Coturnix japonica: one gene and its partners. The protein of the gene in region 3 interacts with the protein of the main gene of each other region in a pairwise test. Links are inferred from orthologs where the notes say so. Each region holds a gene or a part of one and is shown on either strand. Other genes may lie near its edges.

Region 1 (3,749 bases), on a different chromosome or scaffold from region 3:
ACTGTTTCACTACCGAAATACGAGGCCATAGGACTCTGCTGGGTCGGCGTGGACGCGGGCTGGCCTTTGCCGACGTGGCTCCGGCCGGGCGCTGCCCTGAAGCCATGGGAAGCATCCGAAGGGCCGCGCTCGCCCTCGCCACGCAGCCGGCGCGCCCCGCCGCCGGGCACCCCTTTTCTTTGAAGAACAGCCTTAATCATCCCACTTTGAGTTCTGCGTATACCTCATCCACACCGGGAGGGGCAGGGGGAGTCGGGAGGGGGGGAGGGGAAGGGCTGGATTGTTTCTTTTTCCTTTGTATCTCGGTTTTTTTGGGTTCATTTTGTCGTTTCGGGGTTTTTTGGGTTTTTTTTTTTTGGTTTTTCATTTATTTCACTCTCTACCAAAACCCTCTTCCCCCTTTGCTTTGTGCGATGAGTTAGCACATGGGCTGTCGTCTGTAGAAGCAATAGAGTGCAGGAGGCCACAAAAGAGCACAATCCATGGAACAAGACCAGGAGAGCTTCGCCTCCGCCGATATCCTTCCTCTTACTGTGCAATCCAAGTCCTTCTGAAGCCATTCCGCGTGGGCACGCTCGGACCGGCGGGGCTCCCCATGGCACCGGGAGACGCGCCCGGCCCTCGCCCGCCCCGGTGCCGCGCCGGCGCCCGTCCCATGTTCTATGCAACGAAATAACACGACTCCAGAACGAGACCTGTTCATAGCTGATAATCCGACGTCGCGTGCAAGGGTGTCATTGCAAACCGGGTAACTCCTCTCTCTCGACCACCTGTGCGTATGAAGTTCCAATTCGTGGCATGTTCGACCCACGGAGGGGCCACTTTGCCAAAGGGCAGCCATAGCGCCCGTGACCGTCTGTCCTGTCGTAGAGCATGGCTTGCTACTTCTCTGCACGGTCTCACCGCGTTTCAGTGCTTGCCGTTCTTTGCCTGGACTCTCTTCTTTTTTCCTCCCACTTTTTTCTTTTTTCTTTTTTTTCCTTTTCTTTCTTTTTTCTTTTTCTTTCTCTTTTCTTTCCTCCTCTCTCTCTCCTCCATCGGTTCATCGCCGTTACCGGCCGCGATGCGTGCACCGGGGGTTGCGTGGTGCGCTGCTCCCCACGTCCCCCGCCGCCCCCAGCGCTGTAAATAGGTGCCGGGGCGCGGCTGCACGCGGGGCCCCGCTGAGCCCCAGGAGAAGTTTACAGTGGTAAGTGCAATGCCGGCGCTCCTCCCTCTGACCATTGTGACGGTGTGCGTGTCTGCTGTGCTCCGTGAGACCCGTAGTAAATCCCCCCTAAACCCCCCCGTGCCGCGCTGTGTCGTGACTCCGTACAGAAGCTGCCCCCCCCACCCAGGTATTTCTGTGGGAACAAAATAAAAGGACTTGATATAAACCACACACAGCCTCAGACTCGTCCCTTCGTGCTCCGGGGATGGGCAAATGGAGCGCTCCCAGCCCGGCCCGCTCCGTGCCCCGGTACCGCCCGCAGGTACCGCCCGCAGGTAGCGCTGCGGTTCCGGCGGTGTCCACAAGGGGGCGCCATAGCGAGACCGAGGCCGGAAGGCCGCAGGTAATGGGAGGCGGCCCCGCCCAGTGCCCCGGATGTGCCGGAGCTCGGCGCTGTGTCCGCCCGCTGCGTGCGATGGAGCCGCATGCGATGGAGCGTGCAGTGGTGAGGGGCTGCGGGGGGACGGGCTGGGGGCTGGGGGGCGGTGACGTCACTGCCCAGGGACCCCGCCCCCCGTAACCTTCCCCCCGACCTGAGCTTCCCCCCCACCCTGAAGCTTTGGGACCCCTATCCCCCTCCCATGGGCTCGGTGCAATACAACCCCCCACCCCCCCATGGGCTTGTGCCCATTCACAGCCCCCCCCGTGCCCTGGTGCCCCCCATAGCCCCCCCACGCCTCCATAATTCCCCCCATGTCCCCTTATTCCTCGCTCAGACCCCCCCTAAGCTGTCCCCATAGGAGCCCCCCTTGCTGCCCTTTGCACTCCCCCCCCCCCAGCTGCCCGTGCTCCTTTAGGTGCTGCCCAGCGCCGATGAGGCCGCAGCGCTGTACCAGGAGCTGAGCCAGAACCCGGCGATCAGCGCTGCCTGCCTGGGCCCCGACATCACCACGCAGTACGGGGGCAAGTACTGCAGCCTGTACACCGGTACGGGGCGGGCCATGGGCGGGGGGGGGGCGGAGGGGTGTTGTTTGTCCTCACCATCATCCCCCGCAGAATGGTCACAGCGGGACCTGGTGCAGGCCAAGAGCATCAAGTTCTGCCGGCAGTATTTGCTCTTCCACGACGGGGCCTCCATCGTCTATGCAGGACCTGGCGGTGCCTGCTGTGAGATCAATAATGTGTGGGTCCCCATGTCCCCCACCTCCCCACGGCCCCATATCCCTGGCAGGATGGGGCTGAGGGACACCTTCCTGCAGGCTGCTGAGCTGCGAGTCCCCCAGCGGCGCGTTGAAGGCTGTGCTGCTCAAGGTTCCGGGCAAGGAGAAAGAGAAAGAGAAGGAGAAGCAGTTCCTGGAGGTGGGTGAGGGGCTGGGGGGTTACAGAAAGGAAGGGGCTGGCAACCTGAGCTCCTCCTGCTCCTCTGCTCCCAGGTGTGGTATCAGAACCGCAAGGTGAAAAGCATTGACCTGACCGCACTGGACAAGCATGGTGGTGTCTATGATGATGGTGAGGGACGGGGTGGTCCTGGGGGATGGTGGGGACGGGGTGGCTTGTGCCTGACCTCTCCCCACAGACCAGTTCGGCTGCCTGGCCTGGTCACACTCAGAGACCCACCTGCTGTATGTGGCGGAGAAGAAGCGTCCCAAAGCCGAGTCCTTCTTCCAGACCAAAGCACCCGAGCTGGATGGCTCTGCTGATCAGGAGCTGGAGCGCCCCAAGAAGCCAGATGCCCCCATCAAGGTGGGGCCCCACCACCCCCAGGGTGATGTCCCTCCACCCCAGAGCTGGCACTGATGGGGCTGTGCCACAGGGCGAGCAGTTCGTGTACTATGAGAACTGGGGGGAGACACTGAACACCCGCAGCGTCCCCGTGCTCTGCGTGCTGGACATCGAGGGCAGCAGCATCTCAGTGCTGGAGGGTGTCCCCAAACACGTGTCCCCTGGACAGGTCAGGATGGGGAGAGGGGACACGGGAGGTGGTGGGCAATGGGAGACTCCATTACTGAGCCACACGGTCCGCTGCTCACAGGCCTTCTGGTCCCCAGATGACACTGGTGTGGTGTTCGTGGGCTGGTGGCACGAACCCTTCCGCCTGGGGCTGCGGCACTGCACCAACCGCCGGTGAGTCCCCCTGGTCCCTGCCGCCCTGAGGACCCCAGCCCCATGCTCACAGCCCCTTTCTCCCGGCAGCTCAGCGCTCTTCTTCATGGACCTGACCGGTGGGAAATGCGGTGAGCAGCTCACCCTCAGACCTGCAGTGCTGAGCACCATGCAGCCCCTCACCATCCCCTCGTGCCCTTGCAGAGCTGCTCTCTGAGGACACTGGGGCCTTGTGGTCCCCACGGCTCAGCCCCGACCGCTGCTACATCGCCTACCTGGAGAACAGGGTGCTGGGCCCCCACCAGCAGTGCAGCCTCCTCCGCATGGTGAGCGGCTCTGATCCCCCACCCACCTGGGGGGGCTGGTGCTGTACCCCTACTTTAGTGGGAGGTCTGAGACTCAGTGCACCTGGCACAGCCTCCCACCCCATGTCTCCCACAGTACAATTGGCAAACCAAGCAGGCCCACACTGTGCTGGAGGCTGTGCCACGGCAAG
Region 2 (3,649 bases), on a different chromosome or scaffold from region 3:
CTTCCTTACTATTGTAGACAGCATTTTTCTCCTTTTACTCTCCTTCCTGTTTGAAAAAGGCTTTAAGTAGTTGATGCTGGAGTCTAAGCCTTCCATGTCTGAAATCTCATAGTATTTATGCATTCTGCTGTTATGAATCGGAGAGGATCCAGTGCAATGTATTTAGTAGTCCTTAATACCTGCCATTTAAGGGTTTGTAGGGAATTATGTCCAGTAAATCCATATCTCCTTCACTTATTAAAATGATCCATTCTTAACTTTCCTAATTGCACATGGTTGTCACTGTTACTTCAACTCACCCTTTACTATTTTATAGTCCTTTCTTTGTTCTGAGAAGGATGCAGATTCTTCTTGAAGTACGTGGCAGTTCTGTGTATACAATTCATATTAACAGATGAGAAACGTTCTTTAAAATACCTCTGTGTTTTCTTTGCTCAAGTGCTACATTTGACATTGGGTCAAAGTGAAATGAGGGTCTGAAGATGTGACTTTTTTGTTGTTGTTGTTTTAAATTTAAATAGTTCATTAAAAAACCCTCAACTTTTGCCTAAACGTCCGTGGAGTGATTATGTTTTAAACTTTGTGTTGTTTAGGAACTTGGCAAGGCAGCAGGAAATCAAGCAGGGAGGATGATGGAAGGACAGATTTCACAGCCGACGTTACATTTTCGCAACCCATACTCAGAGGAGAACGGCCCAGTTCCTGCAGTGCCAAGTAGACTACCAGTACTGCAGTATGGAAACCCTTATGCAATTCAGGAAAGAAGAGGTAAATGAGTGTGTGTGTGTGTGTGTGTATATATATATATATATATATATGCACATACATACATACACACACACATATATATGTGTATATATATATAATTTCCACGTATTTCTCTCTCACTGTTTCAAAAGCAATGCTGCATTCATTCAGAGACGCTTAAATGCAGCTTAAGAACAGTCTCAGTGCTGATGTACGGTGCTCTTATTTGTTGTCTTTGTTAATGAGAATCATTAAATGCCTTTGTTTTGTTGAAGAGAATCTATAAGTTAAGAAAAATTTTACAGACGTCTTTTGAAAAAGTAGATTTCTGTCTTTTCATACCTTATCTAAAGCCAAAAATATTTGAAATCCTTGATTTAGGGTGTAAATTGGCACATCTGTAAAACAAACTGAACAAGGATCAATTAATTAATTTTTCTTCAGATGGAGCAGATGGTGCCTTTAATCCTGATGAGATCCAAAGGCCACCTGCTAGAACTTCCTTTTGGGAGCTAGAAGATGACGTGGTGTGTAGTCAGCCTTCACGCAATCTCAGTCGGCCCGATGGTTTAGAAGATCCTGAGGACAGCAATGTGAGTTATCTTCTATATCATCTTTAATTTTCCATCTCTATTACCTATTATGTTCAACTTTCCTTGCTGTGATTACTACTGAACATTGGAGTTGCCCGTTGGTTTTCAGTATCAGATATGCCCGATCCTATTGTTTTGTAAATATGGGATTGATTTGGTTTTATTTGCTTCCTTGTTTGTAGGCAGGAAGTAAGTTGGATCAGAGCAAATAAAAACCTGAAGTATTCTGATAGCAGTAGCTTCCGTTAAATACCGAAATAAAGTGTCTGTAGTATCAGGTATTTAATCCCTACATATAAACCTCTAGTTCTGTCTTTTATTAGCCTGCATTTATTCCATTTCGATTTTTTTTTCGCTGTTAAGCATATATTTGGAAGAGCTGATTGATGACTAACGCTGATTAAACAGAAGGTGACAGATTGTCACCGATTTCTTTTTTTATGGCTTCGTATGTTTGAAGTGGAAACTGGTTTTCTTTGCTTTCTCAAACATTCAACTTTCACGCCATACCTCTGTAAAACATAGTTCTAGTAAATTGGCTTCTGTAATAAGCTGGACCAAATGGCTTCATTTGAACAGGAGCAGACTTATTACTCTTTCCAATTCTAAGTATTCTTGCACCTTCAAAAATATTCAACAAGAAATACTCTTCTGCAAAGTATTTTGCTCTTTGCAAGTACAGCGGTATCATGACCTGTTTCTCGTTTAGTCTAGTTTGCCACATTTAATTGCTATTAACCTTTGCAGAAGCTGATCAGTGTTCAGACAGGCATGATTTTAGCCCTGGTGCTCAGCACCTATAATGGAGAAAAATGTATTTTTCCCTCCTACCTTTTGCCCCTGGTGTCCATTACTGTGAATAATTAGAAAAACTGTCAGAACTCCTGCAGCCTATTTAAGAATGTGAGCTTAATACTGTTGTCCACCTTTTCTCCACATTTTGCATATTTAATCTGATCATTCTTGACGTAGATACTACATATGACAAGCTCTTCTCTTCTTTAGTCATCTGCTTCAGTTTAATTAGCAGGGTGTTCTTTCTGATCTATGTGCTTTGCCCCCTTGCAAACCCAACTGAAACAGTGCTGTAGTCTTGTGCTCATTTGCTGACACAGCTTGGATTTTTGTAACGAGATGGAATACAGCAGGCTTAAATAAAGTTCAATAAATCAAGTAATTTACATCTTTATTTTTGACTTTCCAATGAGAATCAATTACTTGCTGCCACACCCCACACCCCCCAAATCAGGCTGTAGGTGTAGAGTGTACAATTCGACATGGAAATAAGTATTTGTCCATTATATATCCATTTTGCTTACGCTCTGCAGTTGAACAAATGATAATCACTTGGAGGAGGTTTGTACAGGAGAGATACGTGAAGGAAACAAAGTACTTTTCTGAAGCTCACACTTCAGTATGAAATGTAGATTTGATTACAGTTGGCAGTAAGCCCAGAATAGCTGTCCCAGGACTTCAAGAAAGCTGTTACTAACAGCAAATGTGTAGGGTGAGGGGATTACGTTTGGCAGCCAGGTCAAGCTCTTCGTTGAGATGAATTCACAATGGCCTTTCTTTTAGCCCAGAAACCCCACTACACTTTCATCAGCCTGATCATAGCTGCCATTTACTGTCTTTATCTGCTAATAGACTTGAAAAGAGTAGTTGGTATCTGTGCAGATGTCCACATACCTCCTGGGAGACGAGGCTGCTTGCAGAGATGTAGGGGGTTTGATGAACAGTGCTCATGCAGAGCTGAGTCACGAGAAGAAAACTGTGTACCCTTCTTTGGTGGACAGAGCAGAAGAACCAATGGTGTGGCCGTTCTTTGATTACTTAAAGCTTGAGATGGACATTGCTTTGCTTCCTGTCCCTGTGCTAATGTTCCCTGGAGCTTAGAAACAGAAACTCTTCCTGTCTGTGGGTTTTGTACTGCACCACATGGCTGGTTGCTGGCTTCTGCTGGGCAGTCTCAGCTCTGGTTATATGGGCTTTTGGTGGTAGTCATTAAAGCAGTAGGTGTTACATGAGACAAAAATGAGTCGGTAAAACTAGGTGAGTTGTGCTTGTGTTTGGCTGTTAATGCCTGCTTGCCCTTCTTCCTCTTTCAGTGGCAAACAGACTCCCTTGTTACCAAACTTTATTGTGTGTAATTGTGTGGGTAAGTGTTGCGTGTTAATGCTCTATTTATCTTCATGATTCATACAGCCTGTTGAACTCACTGGCAGTTTTAAGAGTAAAAGTTACGATCCAGTGATAATAGTGAAGTTATGTTGTTAAAGGCAGCTCTTCACAATTCATTAACCTTGGTA
Region 3 (3,749 bases):
ACCCAGCAGTTTTGAGGTTGGCTTGTGAGCTTTGGTGGCTTTCTTAGAAGGTGTGCTAAAGGAATGACAGTATAGCTGGATATTCTCACAAGCTATTTTTTCTTTTTTTACTAGTTCTTTGTATTTAATGCAAGTTTTGCAGAGTTCTGTAGTTATTTGTGGATTTCAGGAATTGCGTGTGTTGGGGGAAGAAAAGCCCTTTGCTTCCTACTGTGTCTTTGGCCAGTATCCCTTAGCTTCATGTGGGATAAAGCTGAAGAAAAGTAGTTCAGCCCCTAGCACTTACTGCCAGGTTACACAGCTCTGGAAATGAAAATGGCTATTTATTTTGGAAAAACATTTCTGTACCATATCTCTTTTCATGGGCTGCAGGTAGGGGTCAGCTGCAAATGGAGAGTAATTAAGGCCCAGATGAGGGTTATTTGTGTTGCCCCATGCAGTAGTGATTTTTATACAGGGTTCTGTTTCAGTATACACAATGTCAGGAAGCAGCTGGTAAAAAGCTGTGTACCTTGTGTGCAGTATCGCTTGCTAGAATAGCACGATACTTCTTCAGTGGGTTTTGGCTTCTTCTCCCAGGCAATAAACAGGACCTGAGAAAATGGCCACAAGTTGTGCTAGAAGAGGTTTAGATTAAACATAAGGAAAAACTTTTTCTCTCAAAGAGTGGTCAGGCACTGGAATGGCTGCCCAGGGAGGTGGTGGAGTTGCTGTCCCTGGCAGTGTTCAAGAGGCATCTGGATGAGGAGCTACAAGATATGGTTTAGTAGCTTGTTGTAGCAATGGTGATGGGAGGATAGTTGGACTAGGTGATCTTGCAGGTCCTTTCCAACCTTGTGATTCAGTGATGCTTAAACCAAGCATTTAGCTTTGATGTTTCAAAACATGATCAAATTTCTTGGAAATATATTTAAAGTTATACTTTGAAGAGTTTAACTTCATGTAGTTCTACTTTTGTTTTTCTGATTAAAACTTTTGGCTTTTCAAAGGGTCCACGCTTTGGAGCAGCCAGATCAGTGAACATCTGAATACGCTCTAAGAGTTGTCACACAGGACTGGCTGACTTGAACTGGAGGAGGGAAGATGATGTCCTTGGATGGACTGCAGAAGAATATCAGTAACCCGGTAACTCTTATGTCAACAACTCCTCCCCCAGGAAATGGAACTTTGCTCTTTAATGTCAGAAATTAGCAGGGCATTCCTATGGCTCAGAGTGTTACTGAGAGCTCTTGATGTTGCTTGGGTGTGTGAGGAAAATCCTCATAGGTGGCTGTAGTATTTCTCTACTTGTACTCTGCAGCAGTGGCCTTGCACTGGCATGAGAAATGGGCTGGAGCTCTACTTCTCATTGTTCTTTAAAAACAGTTCTTTTGAGCCTTCAGGAGATGGTTATTTGTCATACTTCTAGCACAGAATATTAAAAAAAAAGCAACACCACTAGGTCTGTATAGAATCTCTGTGGAATAAACAGTGCTACGTAACTGTACAGGACTTCCTTTTCTCTTGTAGTTCTGCACTGATACAGTCCAGTGCCCTCAAGTGCATCTGACTGTTCAGTTCCACTGCTTGTTTGTTGCTTGTGAAATGGATAGACTAATAGATGATGGGGAAATGGCTTTAGGTTTCTTCACAAGAATCCATCTGGGGGAAGAAGGAAGGATGTGTGGAGATGGAAATAGAGCTGTAAGGACTGAATTGCAAAAGGGAGATGTGAAGAGGATCAGTAAATGTACAGGTGACATTGTCTGTGTAAGGAGAAGAGGAGGAGTTCAGCAAAACTGGTTGACTGTAAGTGGTCTGGTGAATATGGTGGGTGACAAAACCAAGCTGGAGAACATAAAGGAGTATTATTGGGGCTTAGGCATCAAGAGCCTGGGGGAGAATAAGAGCAATTATTTGGAGACAGAGGTGTGAAAAGTTGTTCCAGGCTCCAGACAAAGTCTGCAAATTGGTCTTTGAGGCCTTTCAAACTGAGTTAGTGTTGGCTAGTTGGCTTCATGGGGAACTTCTGGAGGTTTGTGAGAGAGTTGGGATGGAATCAAGTAGTGGCACAAGCATTATTCTTAATAGATGAGTTAAAATTAGCACAGCTCTTGAGACGTGAAGAAATGACAAGCACATTCTGTAATGATGGTCATTAGGTCTGTAGTATTACGCCCAGGAAATGCTCTATTATGGCCATGCAGATTCCATGACTGAGCTTCTGGACAAGAGATGGCTGACTTTTTTCTCTATTAAATGTATCCTTGCTACAGTGTTAAATAACAGTGTATACAGTGTATAACAGTGTACACAGTATACAGTGTATAACAGTGTATACAGTGTATAAATAACTTTGACCCACTGGAGTATTCAAATCCCAGTGTTCCTGGGCTGTGTCTGTGTGTTTCTTATTGGTTCATCTCTGGAGACCGAACCAGTAACTTATACCCTGCTGTGATTCTCAAAGCTACTGCCCCTCAGGAGCAAGCAGTGTGTTTAAACTGCATGATGTGCAGAAAATATGCAGAATGTATTCTTTCTTACGTATTATTATTTGGATGAAATTGAGTGTCTTTTGTACAGCTTGTAGACTATGGAACTAAGCTCCTACACTACTGCTAGTAAGTAAATTGATTCAATCAGTTTATTTGTTATTTCACTTATACTGCCTAATTTTATGTTCTCATCCTCCTCTACTGCAGTTGGCTAAGCCAGTAAAATCCACAAGTCTTTAAACAGTTTGGTCAGTTTCAAGCTTATACTTGTGAAGTAGGTCTGTATTATCTCTAATGTAAAAGGTGACTGCAAAGAAAGGTGCAATATGTGGGTAGCTGAGAAGGGAAGGAAAGGGAGAAGATGGAAATGAACAACGCTCTGGATTTAGGAGATTTTTTTTTTGTCATTCCCATTCTGTGTAATCAGTGATAGAACTAGAGGGAATGGTTTTAAGCTGCGCCAGGGGAGATTCAGGCTGGACATTAGGAAGTATTACTTCTCGGAAAGGGTAGTCAGGCATTGGAATGCACTGCCCAGGGAGGTGGTGGAGTCACCAACCATGGGAGTATTCAAGAAACGTTTGGATGTTGTGTTGAGGGATATGATTTAGCCAGGAAGTATTGGTAATGGCTGGACTGGATGATCTTCTAGGTCTTTTCCAACCCTGATAATTCTGTGATTCTGTGATACTCTCCACCAGAGTTGCTGCTTTTCCAATCACAGTTTTTCAAAAAAGAGCAAGCAAAGAGACAGCAGCTGTAGTCTAGTGTTAAAAAACTGGTGCAAGATGCCTCCTGCAACCAGCAGTAGTTAGTCCTTGACAATGACCTAATTTGAAGGGGAATTCTATATTAAAAGTGGAGCAGTAAAATATTGCCATTATTCTTTAGAGAGCTAGGCATGAAGACTGTAAATGTTTAGCTTTAATCTTATCTGAGAAGGCTGATCTTCAGTGATGAAAATCTTGGTTTTTCCTTCTCTTCGTGGCAGATATTTAATGCTTTACTAGTGTTTCATTTAAATGGAATACTAGTTGTCTTTCTTTTAATGTGCTAGAGCATCACTTAATTATCAAAAATATTGTTTAAAAAACTATATATTTATTTTGCCTCTGTCACAAATGGTTATTTCTGTCTTTTTTCCCTCCTTCTTCTAGGTCATTCCCTATGTCGGGACGATTCTTGGTGGCATTGTTCCTGGAGAGCTGATTGTGATACATGGGAATGTTCCTGATGATGCAGACAGGTAGTAACTACAGTATCACTTTGTGA

The links.
Region 1: the proteins of LGALS8 (region 3) and acylamino-acid-releasing enzyme-like interact in binary tests that used the Homo sapiens proteins (3 or more experiments, as listed by UniProt). The two-hybrid records come from large-scale screens. The link is inferred for Coturnix japonica from reciprocal best matches to the Homo sapiens genes LGALS8 and APEH.
Region 2: the proteins of LGALS8 (region 3) and TAX1BP1 interact in binary tests that used the Homo sapiens proteins (3 or more experiments, as listed by UniProt). The link is inferred for Coturnix japonica from reciprocal best matches to the Homo sapiens genes LGALS8 and TAX1BP1.

What each region holds. Positions count from the first base shown.
Region 1 is NC_029527.1:1,405,424-1,409,172, reverse strand, and holds the start of acylamino-acid-releasing enzyme-like, read left to right. Parts: upstream 1-1,538; 5' UTR 1,539-1,556; coding exon 1,557-1,655; intron 1,656-2,007; coding exon 2,008-2,137; intron 2,138-2,206; coding exon 2,207-2,333; intron 2,334-2,409; coding exon 2,410-2,509; intron 2,510-2,583; coding exon 2,584-2,659; intron 2,660-2,726; coding exon 2,727-2,893; intron 2,894-2,963; coding exon 2,964-3,101; intron 3,102-3,182; coding exon 3,183-3,274; intron 3,275-3,343; coding exon 3,344-3,384; intron 3,385-3,457; coding exon 3,458-3,579; intron 3,580-3,694; coding exon 3,695-3,749. UniProt on the Homo sapiens protein: This enzyme catalyzes the hydrolysis of the N-terminal peptide bond of an N-acetylated peptide to generate an N-acetylated amino acid and a peptide with a free N-terminus. It preferentially cleaves off Ac-Ala, Ac-Met and Ac-Ser.
Region 2 is NC_029517.1:30,196,833-30,200,481, forward strand, and holds part of TAX1BP1 (tax1-binding protein 1), read left to right. Parts: intron 1-593; coding exon 594-768; intron 769-1,191; coding exon 1,192-1,340; intron 1,341-3,649.
Region 3 is NC_029518.1:33,917,694-33,921,442, reverse strand, and holds the start of LGALS8 (galectin-8), read left to right. Parts: upstream 1-1,580; 5' UTR 1,581-1,584; coding exon 1,585-1,788; intron 1,789-3,634; coding exon 3,635-3,723; intron 3,724-3,749.